2 linked regions of the Caenorhabditis elegans genome follow. The protein of the gene in region 2 purifies or fractionates together with the protein of the main gene of each other region. This does not show direct contact. Each region holds a gene or a part of one and is shown on either strand. Other genes may lie near its edges.

Region 1 (7,930 bases), on a different chromosome or scaffold from region 2:
TGACAACTTTGAGTAAAAAACGATGACACATGCCTGAAAATGATGTTGGTTATATTTCCTTTGTACAATTTGTTTTTGGGAACTTGGGGATCTTGCTTTAAAATATTCAGAATTAGTCGATTTCTGTAAAAGCCAAATTACCAAATTTGTGGTAAGTTGACAGATATATCATTTTAAAGTTTGGACATTTGAGTACTCTATTATGTCAACACAAAATTCTGAGAATGCGTATTTCACAACATATTTGAAAGTATCTCATAGCGAAAACTACAGTAACACTTTAACTGATTACTGTAGCTCTTATGGCGATTTACGGGCTCTATTTCAAATGCCTTGTGCAATACGCATTCTCAAAATTCTGTGTTCCCGTAATATCACTGTTTTCGAACATTATTTTCCAAATTACACTTTTACAATTTTGTAGAAAATCTAGCAGTTTGAGAAATTTTTTCAGAAGTTAAGATATAATTTCTAGAAGCTTATAATAGGGCGAATCTAAAGCGTTATACTGTTAATTCGAAATATTAAATGTTATTCAATCATTTAAAATTGCCACGTTTTCAGAAGGTCAAGGTAAATTTGTTTATCCTTGATTTAAACATTATGAACATTTTATTTCTTTTAAATTATTTTTAACTCGCATAAACACGTGTTTTGAACTTCTAGATCTTTTTCTTCACTGCCGTGCATCGATTTGAATCATTTTCCGCTTTTGCGCTTTCAAGGGAGGTCCATTTATGCGAATGGGTCTCGCCGCGCTAAGTGCATTGATTTTAAAATGTTGTGTGTGCGTCTTAACGTTTACTGTCCCGTTCTTTTTTTTTTAGCTTTTTCCCTGTTTTCTAAGGTTTTCCTAGTTTCTGAAAAGAATTTGTATATCTTTGTATAAGAATTTGTATATACATGCTGATTCAATTAAAAATTAGTAAAGTTCCGAAGAAGAAACCTATTTTCGGGAGCTATGCAGGTGCGCTCCATTGCCAGCAGATGCGTTTTGTTCAAATGTTTTCTTTTTCATTTTTTTTTGGCTCGCTTTTTGGATTCGCGTTTCCTCTCAATTTCCGCAATTTGATATTTCTAAGTATACAAGTATATTTCTAAAATCGTCATAAATATTTGCTCGTAATTTTCCCAATTTTAATTCAAAATTTTAATTCTATCAGGACGGTTCACAGTTTTTACCTGATTTGAATCCTGAAATAGATCTAATTTACTAGTTTTTTTTTTAATCCGTAATCCAACGTGTTTTTAATTTTCTGTGAACAACATAATTCTCAACTCAAATTAGTAAAGGGACATGCCACGTATTAATAATTTTCGTTGCGGGAAACACGACGCTGCATTTGGTCACTCTTACGCGCGAAGACGGGTCATTCGAATTTCCATCACTCTCCTCTCGTCTCTCTTTCTCTGACCACCGTCCCAACGAGCTGTGTCCCCGTTCTGCAATGTCCCCGCAGTGTCTCGTCAAATGGGACATATGGGGACATGAAATTGTCCCGTTTCGAATCAATATTTGTTTGAAATATGTTTTTGAATACGGCTATTTTTTCTAACTTTTCTTGTAATAATTGCATTTTCTCGATGGTAGATTTTAGAAAACTTGAAACGTAGGTTGTAAAATAAATTTTAAAAAATTTAAAATAGCTTGACGAGCTTAAATTTAAATTCCTACTTTAGGAATTTAATATTTTCAAAATTTTCTACGTTTTTTAGAAAAAATTAAGGCTTAATCTATCAGCCCAAAATTTACACTCAACTCTGTGTGTTATTTCGTCGCCGTGTTTGCAGACTTTTCACACTTTCAAATTTTGCTGATTTGCATTCGAGCTTTCTAATTTGTTCTCTTTATAATGTCCTTCTTGCAATTATTTATGTCTTACTTATATTAATCAATTTTCAGAAATTGTATTTCTCCTGAGAATTCAACAATGTCAACTGAAGAAGATCCGTCTTTAGTGGACGCGGAAGAATCAATGGAAGAGGGTTCTGTCACTCAAGACGCAACTGAAGAAACAGAAGAAGAGGAAGAACAAGAGCAAGGCGATGAGGCTGGACCATCTGAGCGAAAGCGTTCTTCTAGAAAGAAAGGCGGAAAGGGAGGCAAAAAAGGATCCAAAAAGAGTGCTGCCGCAGCTAGCAAGGTTGAGATTCCTGATCCGTATAATTCGACAAGTGAAGAAGTTTGTGCTGCTATCGGATTGACAGACGTCGAATTTGATTATGATGAAGAGGAGTTTCAAGGAATTTCTAATCTGAAGGTGATTATTCAAAATTTATTTTTTAAATCTCGATTTCTGTTTTCCTCCAATTAAACATCTTTTTTACAGACTTTCTCCTCAATCATCAAGCCACAAATACTGGAGGCAAACCCCGGAACCAACGTATCCAAGATGTACCCGATGTTCCAAGTCAAATATAAAGAGTATCAAGATCACATGGCTGCCCAAGGAAAACCTGTTCAAAAACAAGCTAGAGGTTCAAAGACTCCAGCAGTTTCCACACCCGTCATCCCTCCACGATCAGCTCCAACGAAGACTCGTTCTGCAAGGAGAAAGCGTCGAGATTCCGATGCTCCTGATAGTGATCAAGAGTTTGAGGCATTTATTAAGCAACAAGAACAACTGGAGGACGATTTGGTAAAAGACAAGGAAGATGCTCGTATCAAACGTGCAGCGGAAAGAGAAGAGAAGAAAAAAGGAGCATTGGAAGCTGCTCGTGCCGCTAAAAAAGCAAAATTAGAAAAGGGCGAAGAAGCTGAAAATAATGACTACTGTGAGGAGTGCAAGCAAGATGGAGAACTTCTTCTTTGTGACACCTGTCCCCGCGCTTACCATACAGTCTGTATTGATGAAAATATGGAAGAACCACCAGAGGGTGATTGGAGTTGTGCTCATTGTATCGAACATGGCCCAGAAGTAGTTAAAGAAGAACCGGCGAAGCAAAACGATGAATTCTGCAAGATCTGCAAAGAAACTGAGAATCTTCTGCTTTGTGATAGTTGTGTATGCTCATTCCACGCATATTGTATTGATCCTCCACTTACCGAAGTTCCGAAAGAAGAAACATGGTCGTGCCCACGGTGCGAGACGGTTAAGCCGGAACACAAAATCGAAAAAATCCTTTGCTGGAGATGGAAGGAAATCCCGTATCCAGAACCTCTCGAAGCTGGGAAAGAGGCTTCGAGTGACGATGCGATGCTCAAACCACCACGGAAAATGGAACCAAGACGTGAGCGTGAATTCTTCGTGAAATGGAAGTATTTATCATACTGGCAGTGTTCTTGGGTCTCCGAAATGCTGTTGGAAGTTCATTTCCGTATGGTGAGTTTTAAGTGATGAAGTCCATTTGACTAATGTTTATTTTTCCAGCTTATATTGCTATATTGGCGCAAAAATGATTCCGATGCTCCTCCAGAATTTGAAGAATCCGTTACGTCTCGTCATCATTCTGATAATGATCCTTATAAATTGCGCGAGCGGTTCTACCAGTATGGTATCAAACCGGAATGGATGCAAATTCATCGTATTATCAATCATCAATCATATGCAAAGTCGCAGCAGGATTACCTTGTTAAGTGGAAGGAGCTCAGCTATGATCAAGCCACTTGGGAACGAGATGATTCTAATATTGCCAATTACGAAGAAGCAATCATTAAATACTGGCAACATCGTGAGAGCAAATTAAATGAGGATATTCCTAAAAATGTGCAGAAGATGATTGCTAAACATCGCGAAGCTAAAGGTCTTCCTCCAAAAGAAGACGAAAAGAAAAAGAAGAAGCGTGAGAAGATTGACATCCGTAAAAAATATGAAGTTCAGCCCGACTACGTTACGGAAACCGGAGGAAAACTTCATCCATATCAACTGGAAGGACTTAACTGGCTTCGTCATTGTTGGTCCAACGGAACTGATGCGATTCTCGCTGATGAAATGGGTCTTGGGAAGACTGTTCAATCGCTTACTTTCTTATACAGTCTCATGAAGGAAGGCCATTGCAAAGGACCATTTTTGATTGCCGCTCCTCTATCAACTATTATCAATTGGGAGCGTGAGGCTGAACAATGGTGTCCTGATTTCTATGTGGTCACTTATGTTGGTCTTAGAGATGCTCGTGTTGTGCTCCGAGAACATGAGTTTTCTTTCGTTGAAGGTGCCGTTCGATCCGGACCGAAGGCTTCAAAAATGAAGACGACAGAGAATATGAAGTTCCACGTGTTGCTCACTTCTTATGAGACTATCAATATGGATAAAACTATACTTTCTTCCATTGAATGGGGAGCTCTTGTTGTTGATGAGGCTCATCGGTTAAAGAATAATCAGTCGTTGTTCTTCAAAAATCTCAATGAATATACTATTCATTATCGCGTACTTCTCACCGGAACTCCACTTCAAAACAATTTAGAAGAGCTCTTCCATCTCCTCAATTTCTTGTCCAAAGAACGTTTCAAGTAAGTTTCTGAATTTTTGTGTATTTTATTTTATTAATTGCATTTTTTCAGTCAGCTCGAGGCTTTCACTGCCGAATTCAATGAGATTTCCAAAGAGGATCAAATTGAAAAACTTCATAACTTGCTCGGACCTCACATGCTTCGCCGTCTCAAAGCTGATGTGTTGACTGGCATGCCATCGAAATCAGAATTAATTGTTCGAGTTGAACTGAGTGCTATGCAGAAAAAATGGTATAAAAATATTCTGACTCGCAATTTTGATGCATTGAATGTGAAGAATGGAGGAACTCAAATGTCATTGATGAACGTCCTTATGGAATTGAAGAAATGTTGTAATCATCCATATCTTTTTGTGAAGGCAGAGTTGGAGGCTCCGAAAGAGAAAAACGGAATGTATGAAGGAACGGCGCTCATCAAGAATTCCGGAAAGTTTGTTCTTCTTCAAAAAATGTTGAGAAAGCTGAAGGATGGTGGCCACCGAGTGCTTATCTTCTCACAAATGACAAGGATGCTGGACATAATGGAAGATTTATGTGAATATGAAGGATACAGATATGAAAGAATAGATGGAAGTATCATGGGACAAATGAGACAAGATGCTATCGATCGTTACAATGCTCCTGGAGCTCAACAATTTATTTTCTTGCTCTCCACTCGAGCTGGAGGTCTTGGTATCAATCTGGCAACTGCTGATACGGTTATCATATATGATTCTGATTGGAATCCTCACAATGATATTCAAGCTTTCTCTCGTGCACATCGTCTCGGACAGAAGCATAAAGTTATGATTTATCGTTTTGTAACAAAGAAATCTGTCGAAGAAAAAATCACTTCAGTTGCCAAGAAGAAGATGCTTTTGAATCACTTGGTTGTACGTGCAGGATTGGGAGGAAAAGAAGGAAAGACAATGAGCAAGACTGAGCTGGACGATGTGCTTCGATGGGGAACCGAAGAGTTATTCAGTGAGGATCTTGATGCTGCCGAAGGCGAAGGCTCGGAGAAGAAAGGTGCTGCCGCACAAGAAATTGTTTGGGATGATGCAGCTGTAGATGCTCTTCTCGATCGCAGTAACAAAGAAGAGACTCCAGCAGGAGAAGATGGCGAAGAAAAAGCTGAATGGCAAAACGAATATCTAAGCTCGTTCAAGGTGGCCAGCTATCAGACAAAAGAGACTGAAGGACAAGAAGAAGAGGAGGAAGAGGAAACGGAAGTGATTAAAGAAGATGAGAAAGAACCAGATCCAGATTATTGGGAGAAGCTGCTCAAGCATCACTACGAACAGGACAGGGAAATCGAATTGCAAAAGCTTGGAAAGGGAAAACGTGTTCGCAAACAAATCAACTATGCCAGTGAGAATATGGGAACTGATTGGAGCAAGCAGGTTTGTTTTTTTTCTGATTAATTGGGTTTTTCTGATTAATTTCTGATTAAACATTTAATGATTTTTTTCAGAACCAAACCCAAGATGATGACGATGATAACGAGTCGTACCGTGGTTCGGACAATGGCGACGGCCTGAACTCTGATGAAGATGATTACGATGAGAAGAAAAAGCGGCGTCGTGATGAAGAAAAAATGCCTCCACTCATGGCTAAAGTCAATGGACAAGTTGAGATTCTTGGTTTCAATCCACGTCAACGCAAGGCGTTCTACGGGGCTGTTATGCGCTGGGGAATGCCTCCACAAGATTCTCATCAATCTCAATGGCTTGTTCGAGATCTGAGAAACAAATCGGAAAAAGTCTTCCGAGCTTATGCTTCACTGTTCATGCGACATCTCTGTGAGCCTGGAGCTGATGGTCATGATACCTTTAATGATGGAGTTCCAAGAGAAGGTCTTAATCGTCAGCATGTTCTTGGCCGAATCGGATTGCTGAGTTTAGTTCGGCGGAAGGTTCAAGAATTTGAGCAATATAATGGCCAATGGTCTATGCCTGAAATACAAGACGAAGTTCTCGCTAAAGCTGCCAATGGTTCGGCACAAGGATCTTCAAGAAGTACTCCGAAACCAAAAGAAGAGCCGAAGGAAGAACCAATGGAAAAGGAAGATGCTACTGAAACAGTTAACGGAGCTACATCAGAGCCAGCTACAGATGCTGAGAGTGAACAAAACGCTCCTGTTGACGAACCAATGGATACAGATGAAGCCAAAGAACCGAAAGAAGAACCAATTGAAACCGAGAAACCAAGAGCAGCCCGTCCATCATTCAAGTTCAACATTTGTGACGGTGGATTCACTGAACTTCACTCTTTGTGGGCCAATGAAGAGAAAGTTGCAAGAAACGGAAAAGAATATGAAATCTGGTACCGCAGACACGACTATTGGCTTTTAGCTGGTGTTGTTGTACACGGATATGGACGTTTCCAAGCTAATTTCAATGACATCATCAATGATCCCAGATTCTCAGTTCTCAATGAGCCATTCAAGGAAGTTGGCGCTGAGGCAACAGGATCTGACATCAAAGCCAAGTTTATGCAACGTCGTTTCAAACTTATTGAACAGTCCCTTGTGATTGAGGAGCAACTTCGTCGCGCTGCACACGCCAATCGTCACTTGCAGCCGGATAATGTTGGACCATTGGCTCAACGTTTTGCGGATTTAGAGAATATTGCTGAATCTCAAGCTAATATCGCCAAAGAAAGTTCTGCTGGAAATCGTAATGCGAATGCCGTTCTACACAAAACATTGGTTCAGCTCGACGAAATACTTTCCGATATGAAGGCCGACGTGTCTAGACTTCCATCTACTTTTACACAGTTAGCGACTGTCACCGAACGTCTCAACATGACCGAGAGACAGTAAGTTTTAACTCGTAAAAGCTTCAGTCAATATATGTATATATATTTCAGAATTCTTTCGCGACTGACCACAAAAGACGAGGACGCGATAGCCAACCGTAGCGTACTTCCACCACCAGGACCATTTGTAACTCCAATACTTCGCCAGCAGATGGATGGCATTCAACCAAAGTTTGCAGCTCTTTACAGTAAATTCATGTCTGAAAATGGAGAAAGGATGGAAGAGGATGAACCAGTAGAGGCAGAAGAGGAAGAAGGTGTAAAACAAGAACCAGATGATGAGACTCAAGATAGCGCCGAAGCTCCGCCAGTTCTTAGTGCAGGTTAGTACTAATTCATATGGATCTTAAAATAACTCAATGTATTTCTATTTCCAGAAGTGAATTCCGACGATAGCAACGATGTTCCATCTACTTCCGCTGCTGCTGCTGTCAGTTCTGAAACAGCTGCCGACGCCGAACCAGCTTCCGCCGAAGATCAAGCTCCAACAGATGAGCCAGAACCAATGGAAACTTGAATGTCTTTTTAATTTTATTGGGTTTTACTGTATTTTTTCAAACTTTAAACCATTATATTATTTATTGTTCTCTTTTTAGTTGCATCAATTGAAATGCAATTCAAATAATTGCGTCATGAATCTGTGTAAACGTTTAATCCTGATCTTTTCGTCTTAACTTGTTCA
Region 2 (4,798 bases):
GCTAAAATCGAGTTTTCTTGATATTTATCTTAAAAATTTGTGTCTTTCAAAAAATATATTGATTTTTACAGATCATCCCGCAAAAATGTCGACGAGAAAGCTCAACAAAGTGATGGTTCAGCCTGTGAACCTCATCTTCAGGTAATATTTTTTCACTAATCAGTAGAAAACAATTTCCCAAATTTCAGATATCTCCAAAACCGCACTCGGGTCCAAATCTGGTTGTACGAGGATGTCACCCACCGTCTCGAGGGCTACATCATCGGATTCGACGAGTTCATGAATGTCGTGTTCGACGAAGCCGAGGAGGTGAACATGAAGACGAAGGGACGCAACAAGATCGGCAGAATTCTTCTCAAAGGAGACAACATCACTCTCATCCACGCCGCCCAACAAGAAGCCTAAATCATCGTTCACTTTTCACGGATCTCTTTGTTCATTTTTCTGTCTCTGTTTCGCTTTCGCACCGTATTGTTCCAAGTTTTCAAGTTTTAATATGTCTTTAAAAAAAGTAAATTATTTTTGGCTTTTTTGGCACAAGTTCATTCACAGGACAAAGAGAGGGGGTGAGTGGATAAATATACAAAACAAAATATGGAAAATACGGCAAAATTAGGAAATAATAGTTGGTGGTGGCTGAGAGAAGAATCCATCGGGGAACACTTCAAACGCACCGCCCGTGGCATTCGGATCAATAGTCACATCCATCATGGGCATGCCATTCGAATTAATTGGTTGATAGTAGTATGTCGGTGCCATTGGTGCATACATTGGCTGGCTATTCATCAAATCATGTTGCTGTGGAATATATTGCACTGGAAAAGGAGCTCCTTGTTGAGCTTGCGGCGGTGGAGCCAAGAAATATGGCATTGGAAATGGCAGGAATTGTTGCTGATGTTGTGGATGATGATGGTAGTAGGCAATCGGCGGCGGACAATCGGAAGAAGGTGGCGCGTAAACCGTCGCATTCGCATTGAAATGTTGCATTTGTTCGACGTGAATGAAGCGGCATCTGAAAGGAAAATTTATTTTATTTATTTTTAATAAAAATTCCAGATTTCCTAGAACCTTGGACCATATCTGCAGTTTCCTCTCTCGAAATTGTGACAAATCTGACGACGATTCGAGCTTCCGTGGTTGTTGCTGGGTCTCCGATTCTGGAAGTAAAATATTGTAATATTTTCCCTAAATTTCACTTAAAAATAAGGATTTTTGCAACGTAAAACCTCAAAAATTCGCTGAAATTGACGATTTTTGTTCAAAATTTTGAAAAACAGGGTTAATTTTAGCTGAAAATCTTCAATTTTGCCAGAAATTGGCTTTTTTTCCGTCGCCACACGGAGAACTTGCCAAAAATGAAGACTTTTAGCCAATTTAGCCCTGAAAATTCGAGTTTTGGGCGATTTTTGGTCTGAGAAGCCGTTTTCGCAGTATATTATATTTTCTCGTTAAATTTCATTTTAAAATAAACATTTTGAACGTATAACCCCAAAAATTCGCTGCGCAATGGATGATTTTTGTCCAAAGTTTTGATAATTTTAGCTAAAAACCTCGAATTTTGGCAATTTTTCGTGCCGCATCGGCCGAAAGTTGACTTTTTTTGGAATTATCATAATTTAATGCACATTTTGGTAGTTTATCTCACATAATCTGTCTGCAGGCGGGAAAAATTTGAGATAAACTACTAAAAGATGCAAAACAAGGATGATAATTCCAGAAAATCAACTTCGGACCGTCTCGACACGGAAAATTGAGCGAAATTGGAGTTTTAAAATGATTTAGCCCTGAAAATTCGAGAAATTTAGGCGGTTTTGGGTCTGAAAAGGCGTTTTCGCAGTATTTTCTCGCTAAATTTCATTTATTATCACATAATATCAGTACTTAGGCGAATATCTTGTAGAAATGTTGGTTTTGTTCGATAATTCTCTACTTTTAGAGTCGATTCACGAGAAAATGTTGCACCATCTTACTTTTTTCCCTTGTAAAACATAGATTCTTCTGTACAATGAAAGAGAACACAATTTCTTCGTGAAGCAACTCAAAAAGTAGAGAAAATTCGAACAAAACCCAACATTTCTACAAGATATTCGTCTAAATAGTGATATAATGTGTTAATAAGCATATTTTAAATGAAATTTAGCGAAAAAACTGCGAAAATTTGTCAAAAAAGCGAATTTCCATCCGATCAGCACCTCATCATGATGCTTCGATGCTGAAGAACTCGATCGATTGATTGTTGTATCCACGTCGTCTCGTCTAGAACGAGAATCACGGCGCTCACGTGGTGGATCTCGGGAATAATACTCTTGGCGGCGTCTCTGAAAAAAAAATTTTCCAAAGATTTCCAGGCTTCAGACACACCGGAACTCTCAGCTCATCTTGTCCGTGAGCATATGTGCAATTGTCGTTGTACGGGCAGTATCCTTCACGGCGGAACGCATCACAAAGTCGCGTTTTGTATTCTGTGTGCTGGAAAAAAAATCGATTTTGCATATTTTTCAGTTTTTTTTTTAAATCAAAACCTTATCCTTCGCCGAGCTATGTCTTTTAGTTGCCGGCGCCTCGTCAATCTGAGCCAATGGAGTGATCTTGAGCGCTTCACGCTTTGGACGAAGCCATTTTCCACTATATCCGGACGACAGCGAATCATTGAATGATCGATTGATTTTCCGTTGATCTACTGAATTTTGAATTCTCGCCGGGCACGTCGCATTCAGAAGACTGTTCGATCGATCGGCAGCGAACGACGTGTCATCTGAGTTGTTGAGTGCAGCCATTTGCTCGGCAATCGGCTTTGTTTGAGCCATCTGGAAAAGAAAATTTGATTTTTAATTGTTTGGGAAACGAAATACTGCAAAAAGAAACCTAAAAAGTGATTGTAAAACTGAAAAAACGGCGAGAAATCCATTTTTGCCGCCGAATTTGGTTACGGTTGGTTTAAAGGCGCATGCCTAAAGTTTTATTTTCGTTGCGGGACTCACAGATTTTTAAAAACTTTTTCTTTATTTTTTGAAGATTTCTGTGTTTTTTCACTGATTATTTACAAACAAAGCTCAATTTTATGAAAGCTTTCAATGTTAAAAAATAAAATTATATTTAATTGAGAAGTGCTCCGTGCTGAATTTGGGGGCAAAAACTCAATTTATAGCGATTTTTATATAATTTCTTATAAAATAAAATTTTTTCAGATGTTTTGCAAACGAATTACTGCGAAAAGAAACGTGAAAAGTGATTTTAAAACTGAAAAAACAGCGAGAAATCTTTTTTTGCCTCCGAATTTGGTTACGGTTGGTTTAAAGGCGCATGCCTCAAGTTGTGCTTTCGTTGCGATACTCACAGATTTTTAAAAAAACCTTTTTTGATTTTTTGTTTGAGTTTTTCAACTTTTTCAAGCATTTTTCTCGATTTTTGATACATTTTTTGCTTTCAAATCCAATTTTAAAGCTATTTTTCCGATATTTTCATGTTTTTCACGCTATTTTCGATTCAAATGTGTCTTTTAATCGTTTTCCGTACGCTGAAGGTCATTTCTGTTGTCCTCACCAAACATTAAAATTACAAATAGTATCTCCCAAGCAAAAACGTTAAAAATCGCTTTAATTTTGATGAAAATTTTCCAGTATTTCCCAAATTTCGAACAAATTTTTTTTTCAGCAAAAAAGATTTTTCGGAATTTTTTTCTGAAATTTCCCAGATTTTCCAGTAGTTCACCCTTTTTCTCCAATGTACTCGTACTCCAAGTACATAAATATGTCGATTTTCTCTTCCATATCACTTTATGTGGCGTAAAGAATACAAAAAAACCGGTTTTTCACCTCCAAAATCGGGCTATATTCTGTGTGAATATACAAAGAGAAACAGCTTTTACATATGTCTTTTGACGCCATTTTTTCTCGATTTTATTTAAAGGTGGAAATTGCTTTAAAACATGCCTATGGGGACACAATGACCGAATATCATGATAAAAAAATTCAAAAAAATTGTCTAGATGTTATATGATTTTTTGAAAATTGAAAAAATCTCAGTTTTCACCTAATTATATTTGAATTACCGCCAATTGAACTCGTTGGTTGGAGCGCGCTTGCATTATTTTCATTAGTTATTTGAATTAATTTTCATTATTTCACTGATTTTCTTCATTTTTGGGGTTTTTTAATCGGAAAATGAAAGAAATATACAAGAAAAATGCAAAATCTTTATTAAAAAGTAACTGAAAATGCCTAAAACTCCGAGAAATACTAATTTCAGTTTTTAATAAACATTTTGCATTTTTCTTGTATATTTCTTTCATTTCCCGATAAAAAAAACCTCAAAAATGAAGAAAATCAGTGAAATAATGAAAATTAATAAAATTAATTAATGAAAATAATGCAAGCGCGCTCCAACGAACGAGTTCAATTGGCGGTAATTCAAATATAATTAGGTGAAAACTGAGATTTTTTCAATTTTCAAAAAATCATATAAAATCTAGAAATTGTTTTTGAATTTTTTTATTATGATATTCGGTCATTGTGGTATTACGGGAACATAAAATTCTGAGAATGCGTATTTCACAACATATTTGGCGCGCAAAGTATCTCGTAGCGAAAACTACAATAATCCTTAAATGACTACTGTAGCGAATGTGTCGATTTACGGGCTCGATTCTTGGAAAAATCCACGTTTTTCGAATTTTGACAGCGATACTCAATTTCTCTTCGTGTTTTCCTATTCCTTTGTCATTTTTGTGTTTATTTTTTAATATTTTACCTATTAATAAATTAATTTGATTTAAAAACGTCCAATATTCGTGTCATTT

Evidence for each region.
Region 1: the proteins of pie-1 (region 2) and let-418 purify together in Caenorhabditis elegans (affinity purification with western blotting, with the first as the bait; one study listed by BioGRID). This does not show direct contact.

Annotation. Positions count from the first base shown.
Region 1 is NC_003283.11:5,824,930-5,832,859, forward strand, and holds let-418 (Protein let-418), read left to right. Parts: upstream 1-1,903; 5' UTR 1,904-1,931; coding exon 1,932-2,261; intron 2,262-2,330; coding exon 2,331-3,323; intron 3,324-3,371; coding exon 3,372-4,450; intron 4,451-4,501; coding exon 4,502-5,831; intron 5,832-5,902; coding exon 5,903-7,248; intron 7,249-7,299; coding exon 7,300-7,571; intron 7,572-7,625; coding exon 7,626-7,765; 3' UTR 7,766-7,902; downstream 7,903-7,930. UniProt on the Caenorhabditis elegans protein: Part of a NuRD (Nucleosome Remodeling and Deacetylase) complex which is implicated in the synMuv B pathway that negatively regulates specification of vulval cell fate.
Region 2 is NC_003281.10:12,424,902-12,429,699, reverse strand, and holds pie-1 (Pharynx and intestine in excess protein 1), read right to left. Parts: upstream 2,808-4,798; coding exon 2,523-2,807; intron 2,470-2,522; coding exon 2,362-2,469; intron 2,319-2,361; coding exon 2,193-2,318; intron 1,158-2,192; coding exon 1,069-1,157; intron 1,013-1,068; coding exon 613-1,012; 3' UTR 505-612; downstream 1-504. Other genes in the region: snr-6 (putative small nuclear ribonucleoprotein E), read left to right, coding at 86-141, 189-405. UniProt on the Caenorhabditis elegans protein: Maternally provided pie-1 is required for germline cell fate determination. Functions as a repressor of RNA polymerase II-dependent gene expression in the developing germline. Required for expression of nos-2 in P4 germline blastomere cells.